Linked DNA regions of Ovis aries. The protein of the gene in region 7 interacts with the protein of the main gene of each other region in a pairwise test. Links are inferred from orthologs where the notes say so. Each region holds a gene or a part of one and is shown on either strand. Other genes may lie near its edges. The genes, in order: BAG6, PDGFRB, FLNA, TBC1D10C, TTBK2, indolethylamine N-methyltransferase-like and KLHL12.

What was found.
Region 1: the proteins of KLHL12 (region 7) and BAG6 interact in binary tests that used the Homo sapiens proteins (3 or more experiments, as listed by UniProt). The two-hybrid records come from large-scale screens. The link is inferred for Ovis aries from reciprocal best matches to the Homo sapiens genes KLHL12 and BAG6.
Region 2: the proteins of KLHL12 (region 7) and PDGFRB interact in binary tests that used the Homo sapiens proteins (3 or more experiments, as listed by UniProt). The two-hybrid records come from large-scale screens. The link is inferred for Ovis aries from reciprocal best matches to the Homo sapiens genes KLHL12 and PDGFRB.
Region 3: the proteins of KLHL12 (region 7) and FLNA interact in binary tests that used the Homo sapiens proteins (3 or more experiments, as listed by UniProt). The two-hybrid records come from large-scale screens. The link is inferred for Ovis aries from reciprocal best matches to the Homo sapiens genes KLHL12 and FLNA.
Region 4: the proteins of KLHL12 (region 7) and TBC1D10C interact in binary tests that used the Homo sapiens proteins (3 or more experiments, as listed by UniProt). The two-hybrid records come from large-scale screens. The link is inferred for Ovis aries from reciprocal best matches to the Homo sapiens genes KLHL12 and TBC1D10C.
Region 5: the proteins of KLHL12 (region 7) and TTBK2 interact in binary tests that used the Homo sapiens proteins (3 or more experiments, as listed by UniProt). The two-hybrid records come from large-scale screens. The link is inferred for Ovis aries from reciprocal best matches to the Homo sapiens genes KLHL12 and TTBK2.
Region 6: the proteins of KLHL12 (region 7) and indolethylamine N-methyltransferase-like interact in binary tests that used the Homo sapiens proteins (3 or more experiments, as listed by UniProt). The two-hybrid records come from large-scale screens. The link is inferred for Ovis aries from reciprocal best matches to the Homo sapiens genes KLHL12 and INMT.

What each region holds. Positions count from the first base shown.
Region 1 is NC_056073.1:26,725,962-26,730,524, reverse strand, and holds the start of BAG6 (large proline-rich protein BAG6), read right to left. Parts: upstream 3,063-4,563; 5' UTR 2,809-3,062; intron 2,804-2,808; exon of another isoform or gene 2,641-2,803; intron 2,580-2,640; exon of another isoform or gene 2,292-2,579; intron 2,164-2,291; 5' UTR 2,151-2,163; coding exon 2,043-2,150; intron 1,028-2,042; coding exon 910-1,027; intron 797-909; coding exon 600-796; intron 363-599; coding exon 309-362; intron 147-308; coding exon 72-146; intron 1-71. Other genes in the region: APOM (apolipoprotein M), read left to right, coding at 3,509-3,872. UniProt on the Homo sapiens protein: ATP-independent molecular chaperone preventing the aggregation of misfolded and hydrophobic patches-containing proteins.
Region 2 is NC_056058.1:59,242,617-59,246,397, forward strand, and holds part of PDGFRB (platelet-derived growth factor receptor beta), read right to left. Parts: intron 3,565-3,781; coding exon 3,454-3,564; intron 2,447-3,453; coding exon 2,287-2,446; intron 1,272-2,286; coding exon 1,111-1,271; intron 577-1,110; coding exon 458-576; intron 220-457; coding exon 97-219; intron 1-96. UniProt on the Homo sapiens protein: Tyrosine-protein kinase that acts as a cell-surface receptor for homodimeric PDGFB and PDGFD and for heterodimers formed by PDGFA and PDGFB, and plays an essential role in the regulation of embryonic development, cell proliferation, survival, differentiation, chemotaxis and migration.
Region 3 is NC_056080.1:80,076,546-80,080,815, reverse strand, and holds the start of FLNA (filamin-A), read right to left. Parts: upstream 2,978-4,270; 5' UTR 2,863-2,977; intron 1-2,862. UniProt on the Homo sapiens protein: Promotes orthogonal branching of actin filaments and links actin filaments to membrane glycoproteins. Anchors various transmembrane proteins to the actin cytoskeleton and serves as a scaffold for a wide range of cytoplasmic signaling proteins.
Region 4 is NC_056074.1:41,706,497-41,710,064, forward strand, and holds the end of TBC1D10C (carabin), read left to right. Parts: coding exon 1-45; intron 46-130; coding exon 131-320; intron 321-1,830; coding exon 1,831-1,985; coding exon of another isoform or gene 1,986-2,067; intron 2,068-2,265; coding exon 2,266-2,613; 3' UTR 2,614-2,955; downstream 2,956-3,568.
Region 5 is NC_056060.1:36,387,405-36,391,954, forward strand, and holds the start of TTBK2 (tau-tubulin kinase 2), read right to left. Parts: upstream 2,852-4,550; 5' UTR 2,511-2,851; intron 1-2,510.
Region 6 is NC_056057.1:67,134,963-67,139,468, reverse strand, and holds the start of indolethylamine N-methyltransferase-like, read right to left. Parts: upstream 2,925-4,506; 5' UTR 2,903-2,924; coding exon 2,749-2,902; intron 1,329-2,748; coding exon 1,121-1,328; intron 1-1,120. UniProt on the Homo sapiens protein: Functions as a thioether S-methyltransferase and is active with a variety of thioethers and the corresponding selenium and tellurium compounds, including 3-methylthiopropionaldehyde, dimethyl selenide, dimethyl telluride, 2-methylthioethylamine, 2-methylthioethanol, methyl-n-propyl sulfide and diethyl sulfide.
Region 7 is NC_056065.1:79,311,794-79,315,781, reverse strand, and holds the end of KLHL12 (kelch-like protein 12), read right to left. Parts: intron 3,516-3,988; coding exon 3,320-3,515; intron 2,891-3,319; coding exon 2,732-2,890; intron 2,422-2,731; coding exon 2,323-2,421; intron 1,677-2,322; coding exon 1,490-1,676; intron 1,174-1,489; coding exon 1,047-1,173; 3' UTR 656-1,046; downstream 1-655. UniProt on the Homo sapiens protein: Substrate-specific adapter of a BCR (BTB-CUL3-RBX1) E3 ubiquitin ligase complex that acts as a negative regulator of Wnt signaling pathway and ER-Golgi transport.

The DNA.
Region 1 (4,563 bases), on a different chromosome or scaffold from region 7:
ATCCCTAGGCTGAGACAAAAGGGGTAGGGAGGATAGAGTGAGACAGGCAGTGGCCAGCCTTGCCCACTCACCTCCATCCGGGAGAGTAAGGTCTGTATATCCCTGATCATATGCTGAGCCATCACCAGCCGTACTCGGGGCTCACTCTACAATGAGAGAGAAAATCAGGTCAGGCTGGAGACAAAGCCACAAGCTCCATTACCTACTAAACCAGGACCCAGCCCCATCTCTTCAGCCAGACCCATCCCCCACTTTGTGGCCTCCTTCTCCCAGATCCCCTTCCTTGACCCTCCCAGGCCCTGTGATACCTGAATTGGGGCCTGTTCCATGTTGATGTGAACATCCACAGCAGAGCCGTCACTCTGAGGAAAGGGTAAGGGAAGTTGCTCTGGGAGAAGCCAAATACTAAGGCCCCCACGCTTCCAACTGATTCTCTGGTGCCCGACCCCTCTAGATTATCAAAGACAGAGGCTGTTACCAGACCAGAGAGCCCACCAAAGCCCTTCTAAAGACTGACACACCTCTCTTATGAACTCTTGGCTGCTACCACAACCAAAACTGACCCCACAAAAACCCTCCCGTGAGGAACACAAGCTTACGGGAAGATTGAAGGTTCCAACCATGACATAGCTGTTGGCATTCCGGTCATGAACAGAGGCCCCAGGCCCCCGAGTACCAGGCGTGGGTCCCCCACCATGGGTGGCTGAGGTGGACCCTGTTCCAGAAGATGCTCCAGAAGGGAGCTGAGTCTGAGGAGGAGCCCGTTCCACAAGGTGAATAACCTTTCCCCCAACATCTGCAGAAAAAAGATACACACCAAAACATTACATGATCAGGGAAACCCTTGGCCTCAGCTCACTGCTCTGGACAGCAGCCTCAAGCTCTGCTCTGCCTCCCCCACCCCCTTACTGTATTCTTGGAGCTTCTTATCATCCTGCAGAACTCGTCCCTGGTAGATAAGCCGTTGTTTCTCAGATGGGATGCTAACAGAAGCAGCAATATGTTCCTTAAACTCCTTTACGTTCATCTGTAGGGAAGAAGAAACATGACGAGGAATCGGGGGTGGAAGAAAAAGGACAGAAGGGGGACAGCTGACTTGTAAGGGGTAAAAACCATCCCATCCTAAAATTACTACCCACCTGTCTTAATTGTGAGGTAATTATTGAGCAAAGCCCTGAACTAGGGCAACACTTGTCAAAATACATACAATAAACGTAACGAACTTCAGGTACAGGCCCAGGAGAAAACTACAGGGCTGAAGACCAGAAACACCAACTGACATTCTCTTCTCTCCCTCTCTGCCTGGCTCCAAAAGGAATGTGTGTGCCTAGAGATACCGGTGACCCCTCCACAAACACAAAATGATACAACACTGTAACCTTAAAGATAAAAGCAATGACAAAGAAGATGCGGTAGAGAATCAGGTTAAGGAAGGCAGACTCAAGCAAGAAGAAAAAGGGGCAAAGTCAGAAAAATATTTTTCCTAACTAGACAACTGACTTGTGAGAAGTATCCAGCTGTTTACAAACACCTAATCACAAAAGCCTACACAGTCTCATTAAATACACGAAACAATGTGTTTAAAACTATGGATCAACCTCCTTACGGTTTTGTCTATTAAGGATCTACCTGCATTATGAGCATTATGGGATCCGACTCCTATCCTTTAAAAACACAGCATAGACCTCATCAGTTTTTAAGACACTCTTCTACTTTAGGTCCTAGTGTTCTGTTTGCCTTCCCAAAGGCAGGAGCCACATCTGTCCCTTTGGGCTGGGGTTCATCTATCATGTTGGCATACAGATTCCTCCTTCTTTCTTTCCCTCTGCATTGAGTTTTATCGAGGTGGAGGAAGGCAAAGAAAATCTACCTCACCCAACAAAAGCCAAAGAGGAAACATCAGAAAATGTTCTGGATACAACATGAACAAAAGAACCAATGAGAGAAAATTTGAAAACCATAATATCAGGCTCTTCTTTCAGTACAAAGAACCTGTAAGAGGAAGAGTTAATGAGTGTCTCCCAGAAGTACTGGGGTCTCACCTGGGCCCCCACAATAAAGGTCCGGGTCTGAGAGTCCAGGGTCTTCACCAGCACCTCCAGGCTGTCAGGATCCTCCATAGTGGTACTGGTACTATCACTGGGCTCCATGGCCGACAGCTCTCTAAGGAAGAATGTTAGGAGGAGGCCCGCTGTCGCCTAGAGCAGATTTTTATATACCCGGAAGCCTCCCCTGCCCGAGACTCCGCCCCATGCCTAAAGAGTTTCTCCCACACAAGCACACACACTCACACCCGCCCCCATCCCCCTTCTGATTCCGGGGCACAGGGAGAGAAACACAAAGGGTAAGAGATCGACGGCACGGGGAGCTGGAGGGCGGCAGGTGGGAGGGGCTCAACGACGCCAATCACAGTAAGGGAGGGCCAGAAGAGCTAGGAAGACGGGAAGGAAGGAAACACGAGACCGGTGTCATCACCGGTCGCGGTAGGACAAGGGCTCGAGAAGTCGGCAAACCCAGGGGACAACCAGAGAGCGAGGGTCGCGCTAGACTCTGCGGAGAAAGTGGTTTCGCGCACGCGCGCCACGCCACGCCCATCGAACCCGCTTAAGTCACTAGAGACCCGAAATGACGAACACTCACGGGGGGCTAGATCGGCGAGCTGTCTCCCTCTTCCACGTACCCTCGGTGTTCTATCAGAAAGGCACAACCAACACACTCCAAACACATACACACACTCCAAACACACACACACACACACATACACACACACCCTACCACCCAGCTCCGCCCCCGACTTCCCCACGGTACCGTCACTTCCGGTCTCCCCCAACCTGCCACCGACGGCCACTTCCGTTTCCCCGATAGTATTTGGGGATCGCGAGGCGGTACTTCCGGCTCCCCCCAGGTCCCCAAGCTTTACTTTTGTGGGGCTTTTCCAGAAAGTCCGCGGCCCCAAATAGTGAGTTCCTGGGGGCGAGACGGGCCGGGGCCGGCCTAGATGGGAGGGAGCCGAGCACCCCGAAGAGCCGCCGCCACCGCCGTCGCCCGGGGGACCGTACTGCGCCTGCGTGCGTCCTACTACGCATGCGTGCACCCTTAGGCACCTCCCCACCACAGCTGGCGCTGTTCAGTTCTCCCCTGCGCGCGCTTAAGCAATAGGGGGGTTGTGGTGGCCGCTATAAATGCCTGATAAAAAACACGAGATGGGACTCTTCCACTGCCTCGAAAGAGGCTTTGAGCCGTTGTGTGGATCTTGGAGTCTGGAGGCTGGGGATTGTGCCTCGCAAATCTATGCTGAAGTCTTGGTCGGCAGAGAATTTGAGGCGGCACTGTCCAGGCCACCTAGAATCCTGTCTTCTCTTACCATCGTCCTCGTTGAGCCACTCCTTCGGCGTCTCCGGAAGTCACCCTTTCCATAGGCGGTTGGAGGTGGTTCTCGAGCTGATTTACGTGCGGTGGCGTCGTTGGGCCTGACCTCGGTTTTGCCCGGTGGGCGTTTTGTGGCGCCATGTTCTTCCCCGGCGGTTGCGGCCGAGGGCACACGCCATGTTTTGGAGAAACCAAGGATTTAGGACCTTTCAGGACTTTTATCTTAAAAAGGACGACTCCGAGTTTGGGAATTGGAAACATGGGGTCAGACTGGAGTGAAACACAAGACTCTGACCCTGGGGGATTGAGAGGGCCGCCTAAGGGCTTCTACAGGTGGAAGGTCCGGTATAGTTACCGTCCCTCTGCCCTCTTCTCCCCCCGCCCCTCGGGCAAGGGCCTGGGCCCCTCAGTGCTGCCACTCCTCCAGCCAGAGCCGTTGCTGCCGGTGTACCTGCCTCCGGTGCCTGTCCTTTCTGGGATTTGTAGCTTCTACTTAAGTCCCGGTACTGAAAGTTTTAATAAGCACATGTATAGTGAGCCCCTAGTTGGTGCCAGCCGGTTTGCTGAGGGTTTCACATACTGTCACATTTAATAGCCTTTCAACATCTATTACATCCCTTTATATAGGTGCATGTAAGTGGCAGAACTGACAAATCAGGCCTACCAGACTCCCTTGGGTCAAGCACTTCTATTTTACTGCCCCAATAGCTTGCATTTTAGTTTTTTGTTAAAAAATATAATGAACCCTCAGCTATTCATCACCCAAATTTTATTCCTTTAGCTAAATCGCAAGCGCAGAGCAAGCCTCACCTCTCAGAACAAATCTTTATGGCAGCCTGTGGGTTATAAATAATCCAGGAAGTACCATCTTCTTGGCAGTACCCAATGATTGCCTCTTGACAATTCTTTGCCTACTTCCTATTACTTGAGAACATAATACCCACGAGAGACTAATAAGTGCTTTACAAACATTGCTATTAATTATAGGGAATATTTACTTTGGATTTATGTGCAGGCCTTTGCTAAGGGCTTCATATGCCTTAGCTCTTCTAATCCTATGAGATTGATGATTTGCTCATTTTATACATGAGAAAACAGGCAAGATTAATAAAATTGTCCAAAGTAAGGGTTTGGACCCACCCTGCTTGACACCACTGTCTATACTCTAACCACTAGATTCTGTAGCTTCTTGCA
Region 2 (3,781 bases), on a different chromosome or scaffold from region 7:
ACACACAGGGCCAGGCAGGCAGAGCCCATGAGGACCCTGTCCTGACTTCCCGTGAGCCAAAGCCACGTGAACCAGGATGGCAGTGGAGGCACTCACGCTGCCCTTGGAGATGTAGTTCGAGTCCCGCATGATGTCACGAGCCAGGCCAAAGTCGCAGATCTTGACCAGCTTGCCCTCACAGATGAGCACGTTCCTGGCTGCCAGGTCTCGGTGGACGCACTGGGGACAGAGGGGATGGGAGCTGAGACTGTGGGGCAATTGTGGGGAAAGGCTCTCCAGGTCAAGGGCTTTATGAAAAATACATGGCTGGTCAGGTATGAGGGGCCACCAGGTGTGGGGCATTGGCCATCTTCAGCCACCAGAGGGACGCTGTACGGGTCACGTACTTGGAGGACTCTGGCTGGTTGGGGGACCCCCCTCCCCAGGACCCCACTCTGCTCACTGTGACTACACATACATTCTTAGAGGCCAGGAACTCCATGCCATTGGCCACCTGGTAGCTGAAGCCCACAAGATCCGTGTAGCTAAGCACTGGGGACTCGTTGATCAAAGTCACCCGGCAAGTCCTCTCAGGAGCTAGAGAAGAGCAGAAGGACATTTTGAGTCTCCCCAGGGCCGCAGAACCCTGGCCTCTGGCTCGTAGAGGCTGGATGGCCCAGAGAGGAGACTCCTGATCCTCTAAGGCTGCCCCAAAAGGAAAACAATTTCCAAATATCTCTTAAATTCTCCAACTTCCAGAAAAAACTTTTGGCATTAGCCCTGGGCCACTTTTGCTCAGCCTGGCCTGCCTGCTCCTCAGGGCACTAGTCAGCCTGGGGCCTGCTCTGAGCAGACCACTGTTTCCTGAGGCCCCAGCAGGTCAGGCTTCCCCTCCAATCCAAGCTCCTCTCCTCCCTGAAGGCTGTGTGTACATTTCTTGACCCAAAAACAGGGGTTGATATTGGGGTTCCACCACACAGCAGCTTTGGGCAGGTGGCAGGCCTCAGTTTCTGCATCTATGAAATGGGCACAAGGCCACCTTCCTGGCAGGGTTGTTGCCAGACTGGGTGGAGGAAAGGGTTTGGAAAGAATGTATGACAACACAGGTGTGAGGACCCTGTGTGCACCCACCAGAGGGGACGTAGTTATCATAAGGAGCCATGTAGTTGGAGGACTCGATGTCTGCGTATTTGACATCTCCTTTCATGTCCAGCATGGGCACATAGTCCACCGACTCGTCCTTGCTCATGTCCATGTAGCCACCATCGCTCTCCCCAGGCAGTGACACGTGGCTGGGGGCAGAGGAGCATCACAGAGACAGTAGCACAGGCTCTCCCCGTCCATCCCCCTCCTGCCCCTTTGCTCAACACTGGGGCCAGAAAGGCCCCATCACTTATGCATTTCTTCTCTCCCTCACTCACGCATCCTCCACTCACAATTTGTCACAATATGAACGACCATGTAGTCAGCCCTTCCAGCCAACCTCAGACCCATCCTGAGCTGGGCACTGGGGCTGCCAAGATGACGATAAGATCTAGGTTGTGTCCTCAGAGAACTCATGCCCAGGGCGATTCCAGTACCCAAAGACAAGGGTCACAGGAAGGACGCTGTCCAGCCATGAGGCCCTGCAAGTGAGCAGTGAATCACCTTAATGCCTCTGCCTACAGCATCAGCTCCCCAGAGAGCTGTGGGACAAAGTATACATGTGTCTCTAGGGGGAGAAAAAACACTGGAAGGAAACCAATCAAAATGTTGAAGAGAACATGGATGAATTTTAACATCTTTTAATGCTATTCTTAACTGACTCTTGCCTCTGAAATAGACTAGTATTGCTTTTGCAATGAGCAAGAGAGAAAAGAAATGTCATTTTTGGACAAGCAGAGGAGAGAGTATAGCTACCCTGGAGGCACTGGAGAGACTGCTGTGTGGAAGAGGGGGGAGGCTGCAGCAAGGGAGGAGCAGAGTGGAGCTACAGTGAGGGTCAACCGGGAGCAGGAGGGCCCCAGGTGTTTCCCGTTGATGGAGAGACCATGATGTGTGTTTGGTGAGAGGTCGAAGGGGATCACACCTGCAGAGTGCTCAGTACAGGGCCTGGCACACCTCCTACAACCAGCAGGTGGCAGCTACCATCATCACCACTGTTATTATCATGCCCACCTCTAGGGTGGCCGAGGGGGCCAGGCTGCAGGCTGGCTCTAGGAGCGGCTCCACCCACCCTGGCCTCAACTTCCTGTCCTGGACAAGGAGGGGTAAGCAGGTGCTCCTCAGGGCTCCCCACCAACTCAGGCCCCAGCCTCCCTGCGGTACCTAGGCAAAGGGAGCCCGACAGGCAGGGCGTTGCTGTAGAGCTCGGCGCTGGGCGGGCGGCGCTTGTCCGAGCAGCGCTGCAGGAAGGTGTGCTTGTTGCGGTGCAGGTAGTCCACCAGGTCGCCATAACGGCAGTACTCGGTGATGATGTAGATGGGCCCTGCAGAAGGACAGGCTCAGGAAGAGTCCCAGGGCAGGGGGTCGGGGTGGGCTCAGGCTTCCGGTCAGAGCCATGAGGCTAACGACAGGCTGCATGTGGAACAGCAAACAGGCTCAGGCCCCAGGCAAACCTGGATTTTCCTGGCTGTGAGCAAGGCAGTCTCCCTGAGCCTTACTATCCTCATCTGTCAAATGGGGCTAGTAATACCCACCCCAAAGTACCTCATGAGTATTCATGAGATAATGCCTTTGGTTAGCTCAGCTCAGTGCTTGGCAAACTGCAAGCATAGGGCTAGCTGTTGTTGATGAAGCTGAAATTTGAGCCCAGGATATAAAGCAAAGGCAACTGATTATTACCAGGTTACTGTTTAAATTCAAGCACAATGCATTGACTTGGCAGTTTGAAGATACTGGTGGAATCAAACATTTTGAAATGTGTGACCACTGCAGACAAAAATTAGTCTACGCACATAGTGTACTTCTGTATTTTGTTTTGGTTGCACAATACTGAGGAAAATCCCAAATCTCACAATAAGCAGCTGAAAGTAGTGATAACTTTTTTTGTGTGGCCTAACGTGTAATCAGAGTTTCAAATAAACACACTCAGCTGGAGAGACCTTACTTATTCTACGATCCGAGTGAAAGCAGCTCTCAGTGAGCAAGCCGGTTGGTGGTCTCCAGAGGAAGGGCTCGTTTCAGTGTCTCATGAGCTGTTACGTATCACCCTTTTTAAAATCGACTGCAACAAGCTTTAAACGTCAGAGGGCTCCTTGATTTGGAAACTGCTAGGAATGGTGACCTGGGGAGTGCTTTGGTCTTAGAGGTGATGTGGTTTTGTGACTTGCTAATCCGACACACGTCTGGCTCTGTGAAGTGAGGGCACTGGACTGGGTAGGCACGGGCCCTCCAGTGAGAATGTCCTGTTGTCCTTGGACTGAGGAGGGGGCAGGGAGGGGCCAGGCCTTGGCCACTGGCACTTTCCCAGAGTCCTCTGGGAGGGGGTTGTACCTCCTTTAGTGCAGGCCCCCAGCAGGTTCACCACGTTCAGGTGGGGCCCAAGGTGACTCATGATCTTCAGCTCCGACATGAGGGCTTGCTTCTCACTGCTGCGGGCTGTGGCTGAGGGAGAGAGAGGACCTCAGGCCTGGCCCAGTCACGGAGGCCTCACTGGAGCCTATTCTGGCTCCTCTGCCCCAGTCTGTGCTGTTAGACCCAGGTGGTCAAGGGTGGTGAGGACCCACGGGCAGGAGAAAGGAAAAAGGGTGGGCGGGGAGGCTCCTGGAGGAGGGGGCAGGGTGAGGAAGCCTCTTTACCAAAGGAGAATTGGGAGTGCTGC
Region 3 (4,270 bases), on a different chromosome or scaffold from region 7:
GGCTTCGGGGCCGCACCCGCCCCGCCCCTCCCCACCCGTTGGAATGCCCCCCTGAGTCCCCCCCCCCGCCCCGCCTCTTTGACCCGACCCCCAGGCACCGGGAAGGGTCGTTGGCCCCGGAGCGGGCGAAGCTGCGAGGAAATGCTGAGGTCTCCCTCCCGCGCTGTAGGAGACGCTGCAGCGATGAAAGGCTGAGCAACGTCTAGAGCGGGGGACCGCTTGGCCTGCAGCGGGCACACCATACAAGGGACTTTCCTTCCCCAAGGCCCCTGCGGGGGGTGGCTCGCCCTCCGTGAGTCACGTGGACTCCGCTCGGTCCCCGCCGCCCCCTCCCCCCCAACCTCCGGCGCTCGGGGGTCCCTGGCCGCGCCACAGCCAGCCGCCTCGCCGGCAGCCGAGAGAAAGGGCCCGATCCGAAGGGGCGAGCCCTTGGAGAGCGCGGGTCTGGAGAAGGCTCTGCTGCCCGCGCCGGGCGTGCGTGCGCCACGCCAGGGAAGGCCGTAGCCGCACGACCCTAAGCCGCCCCCCAGACCCCCAGAACCCCAGAACCCCAGAACCCCTGCCCCAGCAAGCCTTCCCGCTCTGCAGGATCCTGGCCTGCGCCCGCCGGTCCCAACCGCCTCCCTCCCTCCCCCCTGCACCCCAGAGGAAATGGGGCACTGGGCCAGGAGGCCACCGGCGCTCCAGGAGCCAGCAGCCTTGGAAGGGGCCTGGGCATGCCAATGGGCACTGGCACGGGGTGCCCTGTGATGCGATGCATGCAGAGATGGCGGGTAAGCCTGCCTCACCCACCGGCAGTCTACCAGAGGCGCGAGGGGCTTCCCCTCCGTGGCTGGGATGGCCCCTGAGCCCAGCGTGACCCAGGAGGCTGCCAGAGGGACCTGCCCCGGGCTTCCGATAATGCACTCTGAGCACCTGGGTCTCAGTGGGCTTCGGGGTCGTGGGAGAACAGAGGAGGCCTCCCGGACAGGGGGGCCAGGGGACTGAGGGGGGGCAAACCATGAAAGGCAGCTGGGGCCTGCCGTGGAGCCAGGACTGGGTACTGGGGACCTATTCGCTCAAAATACATTTTCTTGTAGATAACTGGAGACTATGGGGGGGATACTAAGACCAACAAAGGCACAGAAGCAAGAGGCCTGTCAGGGACAGTCACTGCCACCTTCTTCAGTCTGGAGAAGCCAGCCTACTGGTGGCTTCGTCCCCAGAGTGGACTCACTTCCCTCGGTCCTGTGTCCTTCCCCTCTGCAGGATGTTCCCTTCTTCACATCTTTTTTTTTTTTTCCCCCAGAAAGGCATGTCTCTGTCCCTCCTGCTTCGTACTTAGATCGAGCTTCCTACTAGCAGTACCTCAGTTCTCTGCTAAAGACCAGTGGGAAAGAAGCCCCTAGGTCAGCATGCCCAAATAAGGCCAACTCTCACAGCCCTGGGGACTGTGTCACCCACAGTGGGGCTGCAGTCAGCACCTGGCCTCCAGCATGCTCTCTTTGGGGCTGCCTGGTACCCCACACTGGTTTTTGCTCACCAGTGACATTTTTCAGTCTAAAGGCCTGACCACTTTAGACACACCTGCGCAAAATTCCACACCATGGTGTCTGGGGACTGGGATGGAGGTGGGAGTGACAGCAGTAGAGGGGGACCCGTGCAGACTCCTCCCTAGCAGGCCCCACCCAAGCAGAGATGAGAGCCATCCTTCTGATCCCCTGCCCCCCTGAAGAGCCAGTCCCCCAAGGAGAGAATCATACTGAGAGTTCATTGTCACTTGACAAGTGCCATCCAGTTGCATTATCTGTGTTCTTTTCTTAATCTGCAGAGAGCAGGGAAACTGAGTCAGCGTCAGTAACCAGCAGCCAACTCCAGCAGAAAGGGGGACAGAAGCCCTGGCTGCCAGCCTTAGGCTTCTTCCCTATTTGGGGGGTGATAAGAGATGGGGCTCTAACGAGTTCTTGTCCCCAGGGGACATAGTATCACCACCAGGTGGCGCCCCATCCCAAAGCCCCCAGATAGGGCAGTCCCTGGAAGCTGAAATACAGCTCTTTCATATTTTCCCTTATTTGGAGTCGATTTCTTGGATGTTGTTAGACACACCCCGCCTCCCACCCCAACTCCTTCCCTCAGACCCCAAGCCAGGCCCTCCCACGGCTGGTGAAAGAGAGGCACAGGGTGGCAGGAGAGGCTGCCCAAGCCCAGGTGTGGCAGGCAGGCTGACAACGCTCCAGGGCTGAATTCCCACCTTGACTGCGCTGCTAGGAGCCCGTGCAGGTGGGTCTCCCAGCGGCCGTCACCTACTCCTCCTGGCCCAGGAATTGGGGTGGGTGGGGGTGGGGGGCTGGCCTTCACATCCTGCCTGGCAGTGAACATCCAGCTCAGAGCCAACCTGGGACAGGGCCCAGCCTCGAATCTAGCATGGCCAACCCCATGTGCCCTCGCCCCAGTGGAGCGCAGCAGCCCAGAAGCCAGCCCCACACCTCTACCCAACGCAGCCAATGCCCAGAGCACTGATGTCAGGGAGGAACCGACCGTCGACATCCCTCCTGGGGGCATATTGGCTGCAAAGTGTCTTTCCAGGTGGCCTCTCGCCCTGACCCCACACAACGTCCTGCTTCAGAGCCCTGCCTTCCTGGACAGTCATGCAATGACCTGCCCCCCAGTTCACCCTCCCAGGGCACCCCCATGGCTGTTGGGCTCTCACACTGCGGGGCCAGACCCAGATTCCCCAGGAAACCAGGGAAGGCGGCTGCACCACCACACCCCGGCTTGCAGCTGGCCCCGGGCACCCCACCACCAACTCCGTGAGCTGCCCGCCGACCACTCTGCTCGGTGCCCGCCAACCGCTCCGCCCGGTGCCCGCCGCGGACGCCTCACCTTCTCTCCCTGCGGGCGGCCGGCGGCCGCGGGGTGGCGCCTGGCAGATCTTCGAGCCCGCGCCTGGCGCCTCGGGGCTCTGCTGGCGTCTGCTGCGCGCCGGGCGCCTCCACGCGAATGGGCCGCTGCCGCCCGCCTTCTTGTTGGCCGCACCCCCGCCCCGCACCCGGCCCGACTCGGCCCGACGAGAAAGCCTTAATTGGTAAAAATCACCCAGGAGCGGGGCGGGGGGGGGGTTTCGAGGGGGGGCCCCGCGGGGGCGCGCCGTGAGCTCAGGCGCCTGGGCAGCCGGCGACGCCCCCCTACCCCCGTTGAGATGAGCTCACCCTCTGCTGACGGGGAGGGGCGGCCCGGAGGGTCTGCAGAGCCTGCGTCTCGGCCCAGCAACGAAGGCCACCTCCTCCAGGGAGCTGCCCAGTCTTGCGCCGCCCCCCTACCTTTACCCCAAGCCTGGGGCTGGTCGGACTAGTTGGATTCTACCTTGGAGGGGGAAGTGCAACAGGCTCTAGCAGGTATGCACTGAGAGCCTCCCACCTGAAAGTCTGCACGGGGGCAGGGACCTGAGCCCCAAGACAAGCCAAACAACATCCCGGGCTGGCATGGGTTTGGCCCCTGCCCAGTGCCAGGCCTGGCCTGGAAGCAAGCAACAGAAGTGGACTGAATTCTCAGCAGCACAGTTAGCTGCAGTCCTGAGGCCTGGGCATGGACAGTGGGGTGCAGCCGAGGAGCCAAGCGTCTGGGGAACTAGGTGGGCACAGCCACACCCTGGCACTGCCAGGCTCCCTCTTCGTCTTCTGTGTGCCCATTTCCTGGTATTAACAGCGTCGTATTCAGCTCAAATGTCACTTCCTCGGGGAAAGCCACACAAAGCAGTGTCTTCTCACTGTGCCCACAACCCCCACAAAGAACTGCATCTTACATCCTGAGCCAATATTTGCAGGCACACACGCAGATCGACACAAATGGCTGAAATAAACGTTCCACGAAGTGAGACTGTCCCTTACCACCTGAAAAGCACTCTGATCTTTCTTCTTTTATTCTACTTCATTAAAGGAGAAAAAGCAAAGAAGGGAGCTGCTGCTGCTGCTAAGTCGCTTCAGTCGTGTCTGATTCTGTGTGACCCCATAGACAGCAGCCCACCAGGCTCCGCCGTCCCTGGGATTCTCCAGGCAAGAACACTGGAGTGGGTTGCCATTTCCTTCTCCAAAAAGAAGGGAGGGAGGGAGGCAAAAGGGGAGAAGCAGGAAGGAACAGGGGGGAAGAAAGGAGAAGTCTGCTGTCACCTGCTAACGTAGTTTGATATCTACAGCTGCACACTAACAGGAAGGCACTGATTGCCCTCCAGGCCTCTCCGCAGCCACTGCTGCCTTTGTTGGCAATGACCTCTCCACCTTGACCCCAGGTGAGA
Region 4 (3,568 bases), on a different chromosome or scaffold from region 7:
CAGATCTGCGAGGTTTACCTTCCTGGCTACTACGGGCCCCACATGGTGAGAGGCAGGGACGGGGGGGAGGGCTGGGGGGGAGTGGGCGCCTGGGGACGCCAGCCGCCGGTGCTGATGGGCGTGGCCGCAGGAGGCTGTGCGGCTGGACGCTGAGGTGTTCACGGCCCTGCTGCGACGGCTGCTCCCTCGCGTGCACAAGCATCTGCAGAAGGTGGGCGTCGGGCCCCTGCTCTACCTGCCCGAGTGGTTCCTGTGCCTCTTCGCCCGCTCCCTGCCCTTCCCAACGGTGCTGCGTGTCTGGGACGCTTTTCTTAGCGAGGGTGAGTGAGGGGCCGACCAGGTGGGCGGGGGCAGGAGGGGGTGCCTGGTGGGCACGGAAGGTGGAGGTGCCAGCTTCGCTCTGCCCCACCGCCACTGCCGACCCTGATCTGGGGCCTGGGTGCTGGGGTGTGCTGAGGGTAGTCGCTGTTAGCCATGTATCACCAGTGGGAGGAACAGCAGCCCCTGCCACAATCAGTGAGATCACCACAGGGAGGGCACAGCATCCACGTGGGGGGAGGGCTGGAGTCAGGGAGGCTTCCCCAAGGTCGATGGGGCAGGAGCTGGAGAGACCACAGCAGTGGCACAGCTCGGGGACTGGGCACTGTGGGGGCACAGCAGATGGAGCCCCTGGGCCCTCATTGCGAGCCCTCAGAGGCCAGGCACGCCTCTGGGAGCCAAGGCCACTTGAGTAAGTGAGACCTACATTCTGGTGGGGGTGGGGATGGGAGGCGGTGGTACCAAATTAACAAGATATTTATAGATTGTCTTAAGTTCCATGAAGAAAATAAAACAAAGGACATACCAGAGTGTAGGGGAATGGCAGGAGAGGGCTGTTTAAATACGCTGGCGGCCACTCCTTGAAAGAGGCAGATACGTGGAGCCGGGTGGAGAAGGAGAGGCAGGCAGGGCCCTATCCGCAGGGTCCCAGCCACGGATGACTTGAGGGGTGCGGGCATGGGGAGAGGTGCCAGGCCAAGAGCGGGGGGCAGTCGGGGCAAAGCTGAGCTGGACTCTGGATCTCTGGGGCCCTGCCTGGTACCCCCATCAGTGGCACAGCTGCTTTCTGTTCTATGCGGGTTGTCCAGCGGTTGCGTGGTAGAAATCCACCAGTACATCTACTGAGCACCCGCTGTATGCCCAGTTGGCTTCAGAGTGGGTTAGCATTCTAACCACGGACGTCCAAGTCACTGTCTGCTTGTCCTCCCCTGCACTCGGGCCTCGAGGGTGGCACAGGCAGGGCCCCGTGGAGGTGCCCTTGCCCGTTGATAACGGTGACGACCTTAGTAGTCCTGTTGTCTCTTCACACGGCACAGTGGTCACCAGGCCTCACTGGTCCCCCGACTGCCTTTCTCAGCAGACCCGAGGCTGCCAGGGAGGGGCCCTGAGGCTCCAGGAGCAGGCCAAAGTCACGTGCGTGTGCGTGCCTGCATGTGCTCTTAGCTTAGGGGTGAGGAGTTCTGGCTTGAATCTTTCTAGAATCAGAAGCTCACAGATCTGAGCTAGAAAGGCTGTCTTGTTACCACCCAGCCCTTCACTGGATGGGGCACGGAGCTGAGGCCCAGAATGAGAAAGCCCGTGTGAGGCTGTCAGTAGCCCTTGGCTCCTGGCAGGCTGTGCTGCCCATGAGCATCAGTGGCTGCTGGGACCCGCTGGCTGGTGTCCCTGGATGGCCGACCTGCTCAGTCCAGGCAGCAGAGCTGCAGGAGGGTGGAAGGAGTCTGGCCGAGGACAGGTTCGGGCCCGGGCTGAGAGCCGGCCCCGCACTGAGCGAGCCCCACTGGCCTGCAGGTGTGAAGGTGCTGTTCCGCGTGGGGCTGACCCTGGTACGCCTGGCGCTGGGCACCACTGAACAGCGCCTGGCCTGCCCGGGGCTCCTGGAGACGCTCGGCGCCCTTCGATCCATCCCCCCTGCCCAGTTGCAAGAAGAGGTCTTCATGCCCCAGGTGGGTGCCCCTTGCGCGCCCCCTGCAGTGGCCCAGCAGCCCCCTGCACAGCTGGGGAAACAGGCCTGGAGGAGTAGTCACAGTAAGCACGGGGCTCCATTCTTGTCCTCTGAGCAGCAGAGAAGGTGGAAACCCCAGGCCTCAAGTGCCTTTTAGTCTGCCTCTTTGTCTGTCAGGCCCTCAGCCCTCAGCCACTTCCTGGGGCTGTGTGCTGCCTGCCCTGCGGGGATCTCATCATTTCCTGCCCTCCCCCAGGCTCAGTATCAACTGCTCCCCGCAGGTGCATGGCGTGGCCCTGTCCGAACAGGACCTGCAGCGGGAGATCAAGGCCCAGCTGGCCCAGCTGCCCGCATCAGCATCCGAGCCACCCCCGAGGCCACAGGCCCGCCTGCCGGGGGCCCCAGCCATCTTTGAGGCCCAGCAGCTGGCAGGAACCCAGGGGAACCCCCGGCCCGAGGTGCCTCGCATCGTGGTACAGCCCCCAGAGGAGCCCCGGCCGCCCCGGCGCAAGCCCCAGACCCGAGGCAAGACTTTCCACGGGCTGCTGACCCGGTCCAGGGGCCCCCCTATCGAGAGCCCCGCCAGGTCCCACAGAAGCTCCACCTCCTTCCTGGACACCCGATTCTGAGGGTAGGTCCCACTTCTGAGGGTACCACGGACTCAGGGTCCCCCTGATCCCAACTGCCTGAACAGTGGATGCCAGCCTTGAAGTGGGCACCGCACTTTACAGCTGGGGTTGGATGCCTCATTCCTTTCCCATGGACTGCCTCAGGCCTGAGGAGGACGGAAGGGTGCAGAGTGGGGTTTGGGGGACCCAGGCCATCCCCCACCCACAGGGCTGCCCCAGTGCCTGGGCCCTTGCACACATCAAGCTTGCACTGGAGGAGTATGCAAGAAAGGGCATGGGCTGGGCCACAGGGACCCCAAAAGGCTCATGAGGGCCCTGGAATAAAGTCTGAACAGAAGCCTGCATGGGGTCAGATCAATGCCCTCTACCCGAAACCTTCCACCAGCTGCCCCCTCCTGTTACGGCCCCGCCCCTCCTAGTCCCGCCCCAGCTCCCCAGGGCACATGGAGGCTGCCCGTTGGGTGCTGGAAGGTGTTTACCAGCTACAGGGACCAATGGCAAGCTGCAGCACTCAGCCTCTTGGGGCCAGGTGAGGCTCCTGTGCCTGGGGGAGGAGGGCTCCCCCAGTGGACGCTGGGCCCACATGTGGGACTCTGTCTCCTCTTCTGCTCCCTCCCCTTGCTGATTTCAGGAGCACACCCAGCAGTGGGAGCACTCTATCCCAAGTCTGCCCCCCCACCCCACCCCGGGTCCTAGTCCCGTCCTCAGAGAGAGCCGGCTGAGAACAAAGGCCTAGTGTGCCCGGACAAAGGAGAAAGGCCCCGCCGGCCCTTGCCCCCTCCTGAAACCCCAGCCGCAACCCCTGGGGACTGCCACCATGGAAACCCCCTCCCACACTTGCTAATTGCCCCCGTGGGTGCCCGAGGTGCCTGGGACATGAGCCATTGCCAGGACAACAGGGCTGTTTCCGAGGCAGGCTCATGTCCCTGCAGGGCCGTCTCAGTGCTCCGCCTCC
Region 5 (4,550 bases), on a different chromosome or scaffold from region 7:
CAATATACTGAATAATAACAACAACAACAAAATGACAATGAAGTAAAACAGTATAAACATTTAATTTCATATTTTAAAACCTATAAATATTAAAAATGTCCTGCCATATTAAATACTAACCAAATAAACTGATATAGTTCCAGCTATATTTTGAATGTTTCTCAAAAACCTCAAAAATAGTAAAGAAAGAAACACATGACTCTAGTAATTTTGAGTAACATGCACTCAAACTGTAAAGAATGCCACATATCTATAAAAGAATTTTTCTATTAGGGATTTTTTTTCAATGGGAAAGGAAGCAAGCTATACTGTCCATTAGTTCTCAAATGCTTTTTCATTTGCTAATCAATTCATCTGTCACTAGTTCAGTAATGCTCAAACATTTTCTCTTGTTTTACACTATTTTTTGTTTTCTCAGACAACAAACATTTATCATGAGGATTAGGAATCTGAGAGTATCTCAGTTGGGTGGTTCCAGCTCACAGTATGTCCTGAATTGCAAGCAAATTATCATTACTTTAGGATACAAAACTTATATAAAGAATTGCCTGCTCCCCCCATCACCACCAAAGTTAAATTCCATGTCATAGCATACTCAGCTCTGTAATATTTATTTACAATGAGAAAACCACAATCTAGCACTGTCACATTTTTTTAAATGTAAAATACCCTCAAAAGTTTTTTGTATTATACTCGCTTCACTAAAGCAAATGAGCCTTAAACTCATGAAGATTTCCTGAGGCATTAAAATAATAAGTATTTAAAAGGAAGTCAAAAAAAGACACAAAAATCTGAAGTCATATAAAGTACAATAAAGAATTTCCTATTTATGTATCAACTATAGTATAAGATACACTATTCTTAGCCTCCTGCTGCTGCTGCTAAGTAGCTTCAGTCGTATCCGACTGTGCGACTCTGTGCAACCCCACAGATGGCAGTCCACCAGGCTACCTGTCCCTGGGATTCTCCAGGCAAGAACACTGGAATGGGTTGCCATTTCCTTCTCCTACTGAAGATCAGATTTATTTCAACTTAATATTACAAATTAATGATGCTAGGGACTTCAATTTCTTTTATGTGTCTAAAACAAAAAAAAAGAAAAATCATTTGGTAACATAAAGGAAAAGTTACTACAAAAACTTTCTTTTATAACCATGCTTCAAACATCCCTTTCAGCACAGACAAAATGTATCACCTGGAAAACATAAGCTTCTAAATTAGACCCTCCTTTCAGTATGTTTTCAACTTCAAAAGAGCACAAAACATCATCCAAGTCCACACACTTGTTATCTGAAAAAATTTTAGAGTTGAGATGAATTTTTCAAGATTAGTCATATAAGTAATATTTGTCATGATTACTGCTTTATTAAAAAAAAAAACCAGCATTCAGCTTTAAAATAAATTGCCCATCATCCTTTCCCTGACAAATGAACGTTACTCTATTCCATTCAGCCGAAAGAAAACAGCAAATACATCTTTGCAGTCTAGCTTAGCAAATCAGTATTTAGAAATCAATGCAACTGTTATTAATGGATCAGAACCAAACACTGTAACAAAATACACTGAGTGGATCCTCCGTGTGTGTGCAGGTGCACATTCATAATATCATGATCCTCACATATGTGTTAAAAACTCAATTTTTATTTAATACCAAAGCATCTTTACATAATACATGGGTTATTATAAAATTGCCCTCTTTAATGTTCAAAAAAAGAACAATTTCCAAAGTGCAGGATGAGAAGAGTAATACCGGATTGCTGCCACCTATCAACTTTAATTCAAAGCAAAGTACAACTCAATGTCATTTATACCTCTAAGGCGACCACGACTGAAATAAAATTAAGTTCACTGTGGATAAAGTATCCTGGCATCCCACTGGATTATTTACTTCTGATTTGATAGTAAGTATGTGTAGAGTCTTTTGTCCCTCCCGCAACATTCCAGGGTGTCAACACCATCTTAGTCAAAGGAAATGAGGAGCAAATCCCTCAGGTCTACCTCGCACCCTAAGTATCAGAAAGTCACGGTTTCCACGGTCGTTACTACACAACAAACAGATTCTATAGTCCCGTGCCCTCTTCTATTAGATCTGGGAAAGCGAGGTGGGAAAGAAGTGTTTAGTATATCCTGAGAATCCTCTGTGTTCAGTCCTGGTACCCGAAGCAGCATGAATACAAGTGGTATGTGGGTCACCCACAGAGAGAGAGACAGAACGAAGCTTTGTGACCCTCCCAAGTTCAGTGAAGACACCAAAAGCCTCTGGGGATACGGGGCACAACCCTCCGGGGAAACCGGGGAGAAGCAGACGGTCTCCGAGTTGGAGTGATTGAGTCTGGCGCAAGCCCAGGGCGTGGGTAGCGACCGAGGAGTCTCCGGTACCCCTCCCCTCTACACCAGGGTCCGTCACTGGGCGAGGGGCGCGGCCGGAGGAAGGGGTCAGGACCGAGAGAGGGCGGGGGGCGGGGCTCCCCCAGCGGCGTCCTGCGGGGGTCGCGGGGGGTGTGTCCTACCTGGGCCGTGGCGGTCTCAGGGATTTCGGAAGGAGGGCTCGGGTCCAGCTCAGGGCCGGGACCGGCAGCGGTCAACCCTCAGCAGACGGGACGGCCGCCGCCTGCCCATCCCCCACCGCCAAGTGCGGCGGGACCGGAGCGCGGCTTCGAGGGCCGGCCGGCTGGGTAGTCCCCTCGGGTACCGTCCGCGTTTACTGGCGGCGGCGGCGGCTGCTGCTGTTACTGCGGCTGCTGGACGCCCCCAGCCGCTGTGCTTGTGCCAGCCTCTGCTCCTCCTCCTGCCCCCGCCGCCGCCGCCTGGTCCCCACCGCTCCCATCGCCGCTGCGGCGACTACTGCAGCGCCCGCTGACCCGACCCGACGTTATTCTCCCCCTTCGCAACCCAGCACAGCCTAGCCCACCTGCCCTGCCAGTGCGCACGCCCACCTCTCCGCCACAGGTGCTGATTGGAGAGCGCGTCCCAAGCCCGCCAAGTCGGTTGGCTGGTCCCATTGCCTATCACGAAAGGGGCGGAGAGTCAGGCAAAGAGCGTCTCCGCCCCCCACCGGAGAATTGCCGCTATCTTCAGGTTTGCCTGAGAGGGCGAGTTACCGGGAAAGGAGCATCACAATGGCAGCGCGCGTGCGCGCGGGAATTCTGGTCCTTGTAGTTCCAGCCGCAGCCGCAACTGCCCTCTCGTCCCGAGCAGCGAAGTAGGGCTTCTGAGACTGGTGTTTGGCGCATAGTGGTGTCGTCCTAACTCAGCAGTTATCTTGGTTATAGAGACACAGTTATGACGCCAGGATTGGTCTTTTCGGAGGAAGATCGGAAATGCTTTGTCACGATACGAATTTACACACACCGAGGTGTTCGGTCGTGAAGGGCCCCAAATCTTGAGGCCCTGCCTTGCCACCTCCTCAGAACCCTCGCTGCCAGGATCTGGCAAACTGGCTCTATCCCCAGAACAGCCTAACATGAAGCTATTCACCGGTGTGTACTGGGAACAGGCCTGAAAGTGTAAGGAAGAAAGGAGACCAAGACCGCCAGAAAGGAGTCAGCCTGGAGCCCGGCGTATCCTTACGGTTTTCAAGAACAAGATTTCGCTCCCTTTTTGGGAAACACCCCCAGTGAAGGGTTCAATGAGCAGCCCCCGTGAGGTGTCCAGTATGGGCTTCTGGGCGACACTGCGGGAGTCCCACTAAGACTTTAAAAGAAAAGCGAGAAGGGCGGAGCAACGAGGCTGTGTGGGTTAATTTGTCTTTGGTGTATCAAGCTCTTTGGTAAAGAGGAAACCTTATGATAAAACCCCTCTGCCATCCTTACCCACCAACTTACCGAAGAAAAAGCTCAAAGAGGTTAACAGCTTTCCTAGAGCTACAAAACTAATTAGTGGAAGAACCAAACTCCAGTCTGGTAAACTCCCGTGTCCGGTGCTGTAATAATCACAGTGATTCCCAGGAGCCTGAAATCCCATGGATTGAAAAGATTGTGATGAATTCTTAGCTTCATTTTACTCTAAATCTTTTTATTTCCTCGTGACCTTATGATTAAAGTTGATTAAGAATATATAATGATTAAATATGAATCCTATATTCAGTCTCATAACTATTATTGAATCTGTTTCTTGTTCAGGAAATGCCACAGCCTCTTGACATTCTTTGAAAAACAGCAGGCACTTCTGTCATGTCTAGATCCTTGGATAAAAAGCAGGACAAAATATACATTAAAGGCAATTGATGATGCAGCTCTCTTCTATTCAAACTTTAAGAAGTTGCCAAATTGTTTTCTTTCCACTGATTGAAACTACAAGTTGCTTTTTCTGTTACTTTGTCTCACAGAATATAGTTCACTTCAGGGTATTGTCAGGGCAAGTAATTTGAATTGGAAAGGATCAGTGTTTCTGTAAATGATTTTCTTTAATTTTAAAGATGTTTATAGGGGGAAACAAAGTCCAGATTCATTGAAATTATGGATAGCAGGATTTCAAATAGCTATTCTCCATTTGAAGAGAATATTTTTCACTCACTTAGCAAATATAGTGTGCCCTCTTCAAGCTACCCA
Region 6 (4,506 bases), on a different chromosome or scaffold from region 7:
GACCTAGTTAACTCTCCCTCTCCTTCTTCAGAGGACATGGCTAGAAGATGGCAACTACAGGCCAGGAAGAGCACCCTCACCAAGTTCAAGGATGGATCCTGAGCTCCCAGCCTGCAGAATGAGAGAAGTGAGTGTCTTTGTTCAAGCCACCGCATCTGTGACATTTCGTATGATGGCTCAAGGTGAGTAAAACACCCTCCCACCTAACATAGCACCTATACCTCTCTAGGCCCCTGCGGCTGGAGAGTCTTCTCTAGAACGCTTGTTTTTCCCTGAATCCTTCCTCCATGTACTTTGGGGGCATTGTGCTTCCTACGAGCATGTGAGCTCCACGGGGCAGAGGCTTCATTCACTGTGCTATTCCCAGCATCTGGAAGTGACCTGACTCTCAGAATGCTCTCTGTGAATGATGACAAGAATGTATGAAGCCCAGGCTGGGATGATGCAGAGACCCTGTGCTCAGAGACCCTGAGGCCCTGTTCCATTTCAGGCTGCCCTTAGTCTGTAATTTGGTCAGGCCCCCATGGCCGAAAGATGGGACAGGAATTTAAAGTCTGGTCTTTGTCCTGCTCTAAGGTGACCTAGAGGTCACTCTCCACATCTGGGCTTCGGTTTCGTGGACTCTGGTTGATGGATTCCCTCTCTGTGAACTGGATGGGGAAGGTGCCTGGAGGGGCTGAGTGCTGTTGGTCTCTGGGACTTGGTAGCAGTGTGGAGGAGATAGATGTGGGTGATTCCAAGAAGCTCATGTCTTCCCATAACACGTGCCCCTCCAACACTAGGTAACGTGGAAGCTGAACCACGAGTTTTGAGAGCAAAGAGATCTGCGTGTGCTGGAGCAATCAGGGGAGCTTCCAGCTCCCACAGGTTGGAAAAGGTCCCACAGGTTGGAAGGGATGCAAAACATGGAGAGCAAATCAGGTAACCGAAGCTTTGATCACAGGCAACTCTGAGGCTGCAGGTGGGACTCACTCAAAGGGAGGGAGGTGCTCTGGGCCAGAGACCCAAGTGGGTTAGGAACAAGCTAGAAGGAGCTGGCCAGTGATGCAGGGTGGCAGGCTCAGACTCAGGCCTGTGAGGATGGGAGACGTCTTGTGAGAAGGATGGGGACTGTGGATACCTGTCTCCCTCGAGCCCACACACGTATTGCATGGCTGGGGACCAGTCATAGGCCCCCGGGTCCTTCTTCAGCCACTTGTCCACCTCCCGGAGGTTGAGCTCTGAGTAATCTGACATGATGATCTCCCGGAAGGCCTCGCAGGCCGAGATAAGCTGGTAGATGGTGGGGCCTGTGCCGACGTCGATCAGGATGTCGCCTCCAATGCCTCCTGCAGGAGATAGCGTGTTCCAGGTGTGGGGGGCAGACACCCGACTCCATGCCAGTTGTGGTGGATGGAGATGCCAGGCTCTGCCCTTTCCCCAGGGTGACTCCCAGGGGATCCGACCCTGCCTTGGGCAGTTACGTGGACTGTCTGAGGATTCTAGACCCTATGTCTGCGGCTCAGAAGGGTGAGAAAGGAGAGTGGGGCACAGGCTGGCACATACTGGGTCCCCCTGCTGCCTCAAGGGTTGCTACTGGAGCCCTGGTAGGACAAGTCCTGCCCTTCTGGGCAGCTTTCAGGTTGACTTCTTGGTAGAAGCTGGTTCATTGGCAAGTCTCCTGACTCTGGGTTTAAAGCAATGGTGAGAGTGACCCCACGGCCCCCTCCCACCTCCTTGCTGCAAGGACAGAGATCCTGATAAAGGCCGAGAGCTGAGCCAGTGGGTTCAAAACTCGCTCCACCAATCACGGAAGGCAGGAGGATCTTGTGGTGAGTTGCGGGAAGAGCAGTATAAGTACATCGCCTTCCTCTCCCTGCTTCCTCCCTCCCTCCTCCTCCATTGAAACCAGTCCATTTTCCAAGGCTTAATCCCAGTCCTTCCTCCAGAGTCTCCTAAAATTTCTCGATGAGCCTTAAGCTTTCATTTGTCTGTATTTCTGTGGACCTCGCTTGATCTCCTTCTTGGCATCGAATACATAGGGCAAGGTTTGTTGAATGACTGAGTAACCCCCTAGTTGTTCAGTGCACTCCCTGTGCAACTGTGCAAGGCAGCCCTGCATGAACTGATTTTGAGATTTTCTACTGCCAGTGACAGGTGGGCTGACCTGGGCTGGCCAGCCTGGTGTCTTGCACCTCAGCCTCCCCTTGTGTGCATGGAGGACTTGGGTGATAATCTCTGCCGGTCCCCCCACCCTGACAACTCAGAGCAGAAATTTGTAAACTGAGCTCTGTGGTTTGGCTTTGGGTATCCATGAACCCTCTTAATTTTGTGTAAAAGATTAAGAGTGTTTCTGTGTTGTGTATATACCAGATGTTTCATCAGGTTTTCAAGGCGGCTCAAGAGACCAGGCTATAAAGCCACGTTTATGTTACTGAAGGGGAGGCAGTATGCTCATATCTGTTGTTGCCTATCCCTTCCAGCATGAGTCTGTGAGGAGCCGCACAGTTCAGGAGGTACCTTCCCATTTCACAGGGCAAGAAACTGAGATGGACTGTCAAAGATTCAGGCCTGGTTCCTGGGCTGCAAAGGCCAGTGCTTGGGTTCCCCGAGTGGCCAACCAGTGACAGTCCTCGTGGATTCACAGCTGGGCTGCCTTTGCAGCCTCCTAGGTGAGTGGTGTCCCAGAGGCCAGGTCCCCTGCCACCAAGAGCCCTTCCTGTAAGGCGCAGCCCCATCGTCTGCCTGAGAGGGAGACCAGACACTCACCTGGAGAGAAAGTTTCAAATAGATTATTCAGGTTGAATTTCAAGATTTCATTTTCAGCTACGGTGCCTGAATCGAAGGCATAGAAGGTCTTTAAGTAGTCCCGGGGTTGGAACTCTGTCTTGTAGTCCTGTCCTTTGTACAGCTTGCCCTCCATTCTGGCTGTGGACCTTGCTGCTTCTCTCCTGCTGCGGTTCCCCATTTTATCTACCCTCTTTCCCTAGGCCCTGCCCATGGGGAGTTTCATAATCTCATCAGACAGACCTTCCCTCCCAGGGAGGAGCTAGGATTGCACATCATGGAGTCAGGCCACATGTTAGCTTTCTGGCTGGGGTTTATCTCTTTGGTAATCATCAAAACAGAGAAACACCAACAGGGTGGTCAACAAATGCTCCTGGGGGGGGATTGGTGGGTCTCAGTATTTCGTTTCTGAGAGGTGATGTTTTGAATGTAGATGCTGCTGGCAAGGGTTAGATTTGGGAGAGAATGAAGCAGAGGGTCTGGGCCACAGAACAAAGAGAGAGACACAGATGAGCAAAGAGAGATAGACAAAGACAAAGGCATAGAGAGGGCAAGTATCTGGAATAGGTCAAGTGTCCTTCTCTCTCTGGGTTTGCTGGGAAATGAAACGCAGAAAGGAAAACCCTGTAGCATGGAAAACAGAATGCAGAAATGGCTGAATTTCACTCACTGAGGTCAGTGAGTTTGCTCTTTAAATTGTTAGTCCTGAACTTGGTTGAATATTTCCTCCTATCTTCAATCCTATTTACTCTATTTGCTTAATCAATCCTTTATTTGGTGAGGATAGAAATAATTGTAACCAGGGCCACCGAAAAGGTTGAGAAGCCTCTGTTTGCACAAATCACTTTAAAAGTGTTGGCATTCATAAACAGAACATGTGATTAAATTTTGTGGAACTTGCTTGCATGCACAATCACACACACAAACACACACAGAAATGCACACACGCATAACTACTAGTAAAATGTGTAACAGATGAATGAGGGCTGTGGGTTGTATCAAAAGGGTTGCCTGCACTTCTGAATAGGTTTCAGATTGACTTCTTGGTAGGAGCTGGTTTATTTCCAGCAGTCTTCTGGTTGTGACAATTTTTTGGTTGTGATACTATGTTTTGACAGATGCTACCATTATACTATCATTGAAATGTACTCAGATCTCTCTCTATTATTTCCTACGCTGCATGTGAATCTACAAAATAAAAAGTTATGTTAAAAAAAAAAAAAGTGTTTCCAAAAGGATAAAAAACAGAAAAAAAAAAAAAGTGTTTCCAAATCTCTTCCCCAAATTCACCTAAGATCAGAGATTTCAGGTAGCAAACTCTAATGTGTTTTGCAAATGGGCAAGTCTGGGACCCTGGGGTGTAGTGTGCCGGGTGTGTCCATCACACTCATCGTCTGCCTTCTTTGTGACGAACTGTGGAGTAGATGTTGAGACCTACTCACTCCTTGGAGATTAGGAAGCTGAAGGTGATGAGCCTTCTCCCAGGGGGGTTCTGGCAGCAAGTGACGGGGTCTAGGAGTAGATTTAAGGCCAGCGTCCAAAGCCCAAATAAAGAATCACTCCAAATGTATTGTCTCCTCATCACGCTGTGCGGTCTAGCAGGGTCGCTTGGCTGTGCTGCTCAAACTAGCATGCCCAGGAATCACCCGGGGATCCCTCTAAACGCAGATTGTTGTTCTTGAGATTTTACAGCCTTAATAATCCTAGGTGATACTGAGGTCCCCGTGATGCAAACAGCAC
Region 7 (3,988 bases):
AGGCGACCGCGCGGTCCCCACACTCCCGATTCTCCGAGCAGGAGTGCCTCTGCGCAGCACAGGGGCGCCTTGGGAGTTCAGAAGGCCGGGAGGCGCCGAACTAACAAACGGGTTTCGGTTCTCATCGTTATTCCGTCCTGGGATGAGTGAGATCCAGTCTAAAGACAGGGAAGGGGTGTTCTAATAAGAAAGGACAACATGTACAAAACACAGCAGTAAAAACGACTCCTTGGCAGAAGTATGCTCTTACAAGAACCAGGGGAGTCACCAGGCGACTGCCACCCCCGCTCCTCCCCTCCCCCTATAAACAGTACCGACGGCAACAGTGGAGAAAGCAGTCCTTGATTCAACAGAGGAAAGCCTTCCTGGGATACAGGTGCGGCAGCCGGGGCGGGGGCGGGGGTGGGCAATGGTGAAGTCACAGGAACTTCGGTCTGGGACACGTTTCCTGCACTGCTGCTCTGTGTCTAGGGCCCAGCAAAGACCCTCAGGTAACACGCCCCCTCAGCCTTCCACGTGTTGCAGGCTCTCTCACACCCCACCGCATCCAGGTCCCGTCCTGCACTGGACACCCAGTTCCCCACTCCCGAGGCCCCCGAGGTTTTGACAGGGCTCTTCCCTCGTTTTCCTCCAAAACAGAACTCTGTTGCCCCTGTTACCTGTAGACTAGGAAAGAGATTTATTCTTGGAAAACCAAGAGAGTTGGTACCCTTCCAGCCCTGCCCACACCCTGGAGTTCATGTTCACCTTAATTGTCCACAGCACACGAGGCACAAGGTATATTCTCTGGAGCGCACACGAGGTTAAAGGCGAGGACCAAGTGCCCCCGCGGCCAGGAGAAGGGTCTGGCCGATCACACCCATGCAGGGTGCGGCCTCCGCCCTCGAGTGCCTGCGGCCTCCGCCCTCGGGGACACCCCCAACGCCAGGGCGTGTCAAATAAGCTCAGTGAGAGCCGCGGCACTGAGCCTGTCATCCCCTCCCCGCACTGAGAACAGACATTCTGGAAAGGACCCTTGGTTCTCTGCAAACTGTCTCTTCGCCCAGTCATTTCTCTCGGAGAACACACACGCCGGCGTCGCAGCGCTGAGTTCCCATGGAGGTCACGACCTCCCAGCTGTCAATGATGGGGTCGTAGCACTCAATGCTGCTCAGCAGGGAGTTCCCGTCGTAGCTGAGGGAGAAGGGCCAGCAGGGATAGAGAAAGGCGCACCTCCACCGGCCCCGCCCACCGGCCCCGCCCCCAGCCCTGCCCCGCCCCGGCCTCGCCCAGGGCCTGTCTCAATAGGCTCCGCCCCGCCCCCTCCCCACAAGGCCCCGCCCACAGCCTGTCTCAATAGGCTCCGCCCCACCTCTCCCCACAAGGCCCCCCCTCCCCACAGGGCCCCACATTAAGATTGCCATGGAGCCCTCTCTGCGGAACCAAACCCTGTCTCCACCACACACGTGGATCAGCTCACACGGCCCTGGATCCCAGATTTACCCCTCACCCTGCAATTGCATAAAGTCTCCCCCGAAGCACCGTGGCCCCGACGTAGCACCGCGGGGTGGTCATGCTCGTGACCGTTGTCCAGGAGTCGGTGCGAATGTTGTAGGCTTCCACAGAAGAAAGGTGGGCTGTACCATCGAATCCCCCCACCACATAAATATGGTCATTCAGCAGCGCTACCCCTGCACCTGGGGAGGAAAGGGCACAACAGATGACGGCTGCTGGGCTGAGGATCTGAACCCTAGAAACAAAACACTGACAGACGGCTGGGTGAGCCCCAGAGTGGCCGAGGGATGGGCCAGGGCCAGACAGCCTGGAGGATCTAGTCCAGCACAGGCCACGCACCTGCAGCCCTCTTCGCCTGGCCGTCATCTCACTTTCATTAACTCGGAGCCCAACCCTTGTCATGAGAGAAGGGAGTGGAAAAAAGAGGGAAAGAGAGAGGGGTCGTGATGGGTCTGGAGCATCTGCTACCGGGAGGCAGGGCTCTCTGTTCCTCCACACCAGCCTGAGGGCTCAGAAAGACCCCTCCCTGCCCGACTCCTGCACATGCTCCCTCAGGCAGCCCACGCCACTGCACAGAGCTGAGCTGGAGGCCAGGATGGAGGGAGGGACTCAGGTACAAAAAGACAAGGCAAGGAGGCTCTGCTCTCACCCTAACCCAGGGAGAGTCTGGGCTGTCTCCAATGCCGCTGTATTTAGGGAGCACAGACACTGAGGACAACGGCCCTGACCCATGTTTCCCAGGTTGCCAGTGATGACAGGCCTGCAGCCCCACTGCCCAGGCAGCTCTGACAGCTCCGCCTCCGGCCCCTGGGGCCTGCCCGGTCTTACCAGAGCGCTTGGTGGCCATCGGTGTGACATTAGTCCAGTGTCCTGTATGGGGGTCATACTTCTCAACTGAGTTTAAGATATTCAAGCCGTCATATCCTCCTGAAAGACAGAGCGGGAACCATTCCAGAAAGAATGGTCGGTGCGGATTCCCGCTCCTGGCCTGCCTTCCTCAAGTGCCCTGACTGAGGCTCTTCGTCCCAGCTCTCTTCAAGGGCTCCAGAGAGAAACCTGAGAGCAACCTGTCTTCTGCTCTCACGAAAAGGAGAATCCCAGTGAGTGGAAACTATACTGGGACAGACCAGGGTTTTAGGGGGAGGAAGTCTATGAACCAATTCCAGTGAAAGGGATCCTGCGCCGAGGCCGCTGCCCTTAGTCATCCCGCCCCCACCCCGTCCCAGACCCCACACACCTAGACAGTAGATCACCCCGCTGGCCACCACGAGGCCGGCACCTTCCCGGGCCGTCTGCATGTCGCCCAGCATGCTCCACTGGTCGATGTTCGGGTCATAGCGCTCCATACTGGTGTGGCGCCTGCTTCCATCGAAGCCCCCAGAGACATAGATCATATCTGCTCAGAATGAAGGAGCCACAGACCGTTAGAGAGTGAGAGGTTTGTAACGACTCCTTGTCTACAAATCTCCCACAACTCTTCCAAATGCCTGGAGCCAGAAACAACTGTTTGGTTTTTTTTAAGGGATAAATCAAGTCTTTCTTAAAGAGGACAGCACAGTCAAGACAAGTGAGAAGAACAGGGTAAGATGGAATCTTCAGAAACATTCCTAGATGCGAGTCTGCAAAACTACCACTAGCGCCAGCTGCCCCCTCAGCACACTGGAGCCTGAGTTACCAACTCCAGTGTCAGCACTGAGATGCCTTGGAGTGTTTCCGAAACCAGAAAGGTGTGACTGACCCCACCGGCTGCCTCCACATTTCATGGAGGTGTGAACCCCGATCCAGCCACACCGAGATGCACGCGCCGCCCTGTGCAGCAGCCTACCTCCCAGGGTGGTGGCTCCAGCCAGGCCCCGCCGGACGTTCATCGGAGCCACAGAATACCAGACCCCGTCCTCGTCTGCCGTGTAGTCCAGACACTCCACGGAGCTGAGGCGGGAGCGGCCGTCATAGCCACCAATCACGTAGATCCGGTCGTGAAGGGACACCGAGGCCACATAGCGTCTCTTCCGAGTAATGCTCTGGGATTCAGGGGAGAAGAGGCGCCTTTGCCACTTTAGCCAGACAAGTCTCAGGCCTCACCTTTGTGGTCCTTCCTGGGTTTCCCTCCGCACCTTGTTGCTTTGCCTGTGGCCGTGAAGCCCTCTGAGCAGAGGTTTATCTGCTGCCTGTCCACTGGACAAACGCCTCTTGCTCAGTGATGCTCTTACTGATGAGTGTCTTCTGTGCGTCTGTCTCTAAGGATTCCAGAGGATCTACCATCCTTCCCTTATCCAGTATCTGATTCCTTCCCATTCCATAAGCACTGCGCTAAAGACCAACATCCTTCCGTGAAGCAGGAAGAGACTAGTGCACTGCTCTCTAAGGGCCAGGACCCAATGACCTGAAAGGCCATGAGAAATGACCCAAAGATCCCCATGGTTCTCACAGTTACTGCACTGAAGCAGAAACCCCCAAGGAGACACAGACCCTGGGTCCCACGGACACCAGCTCA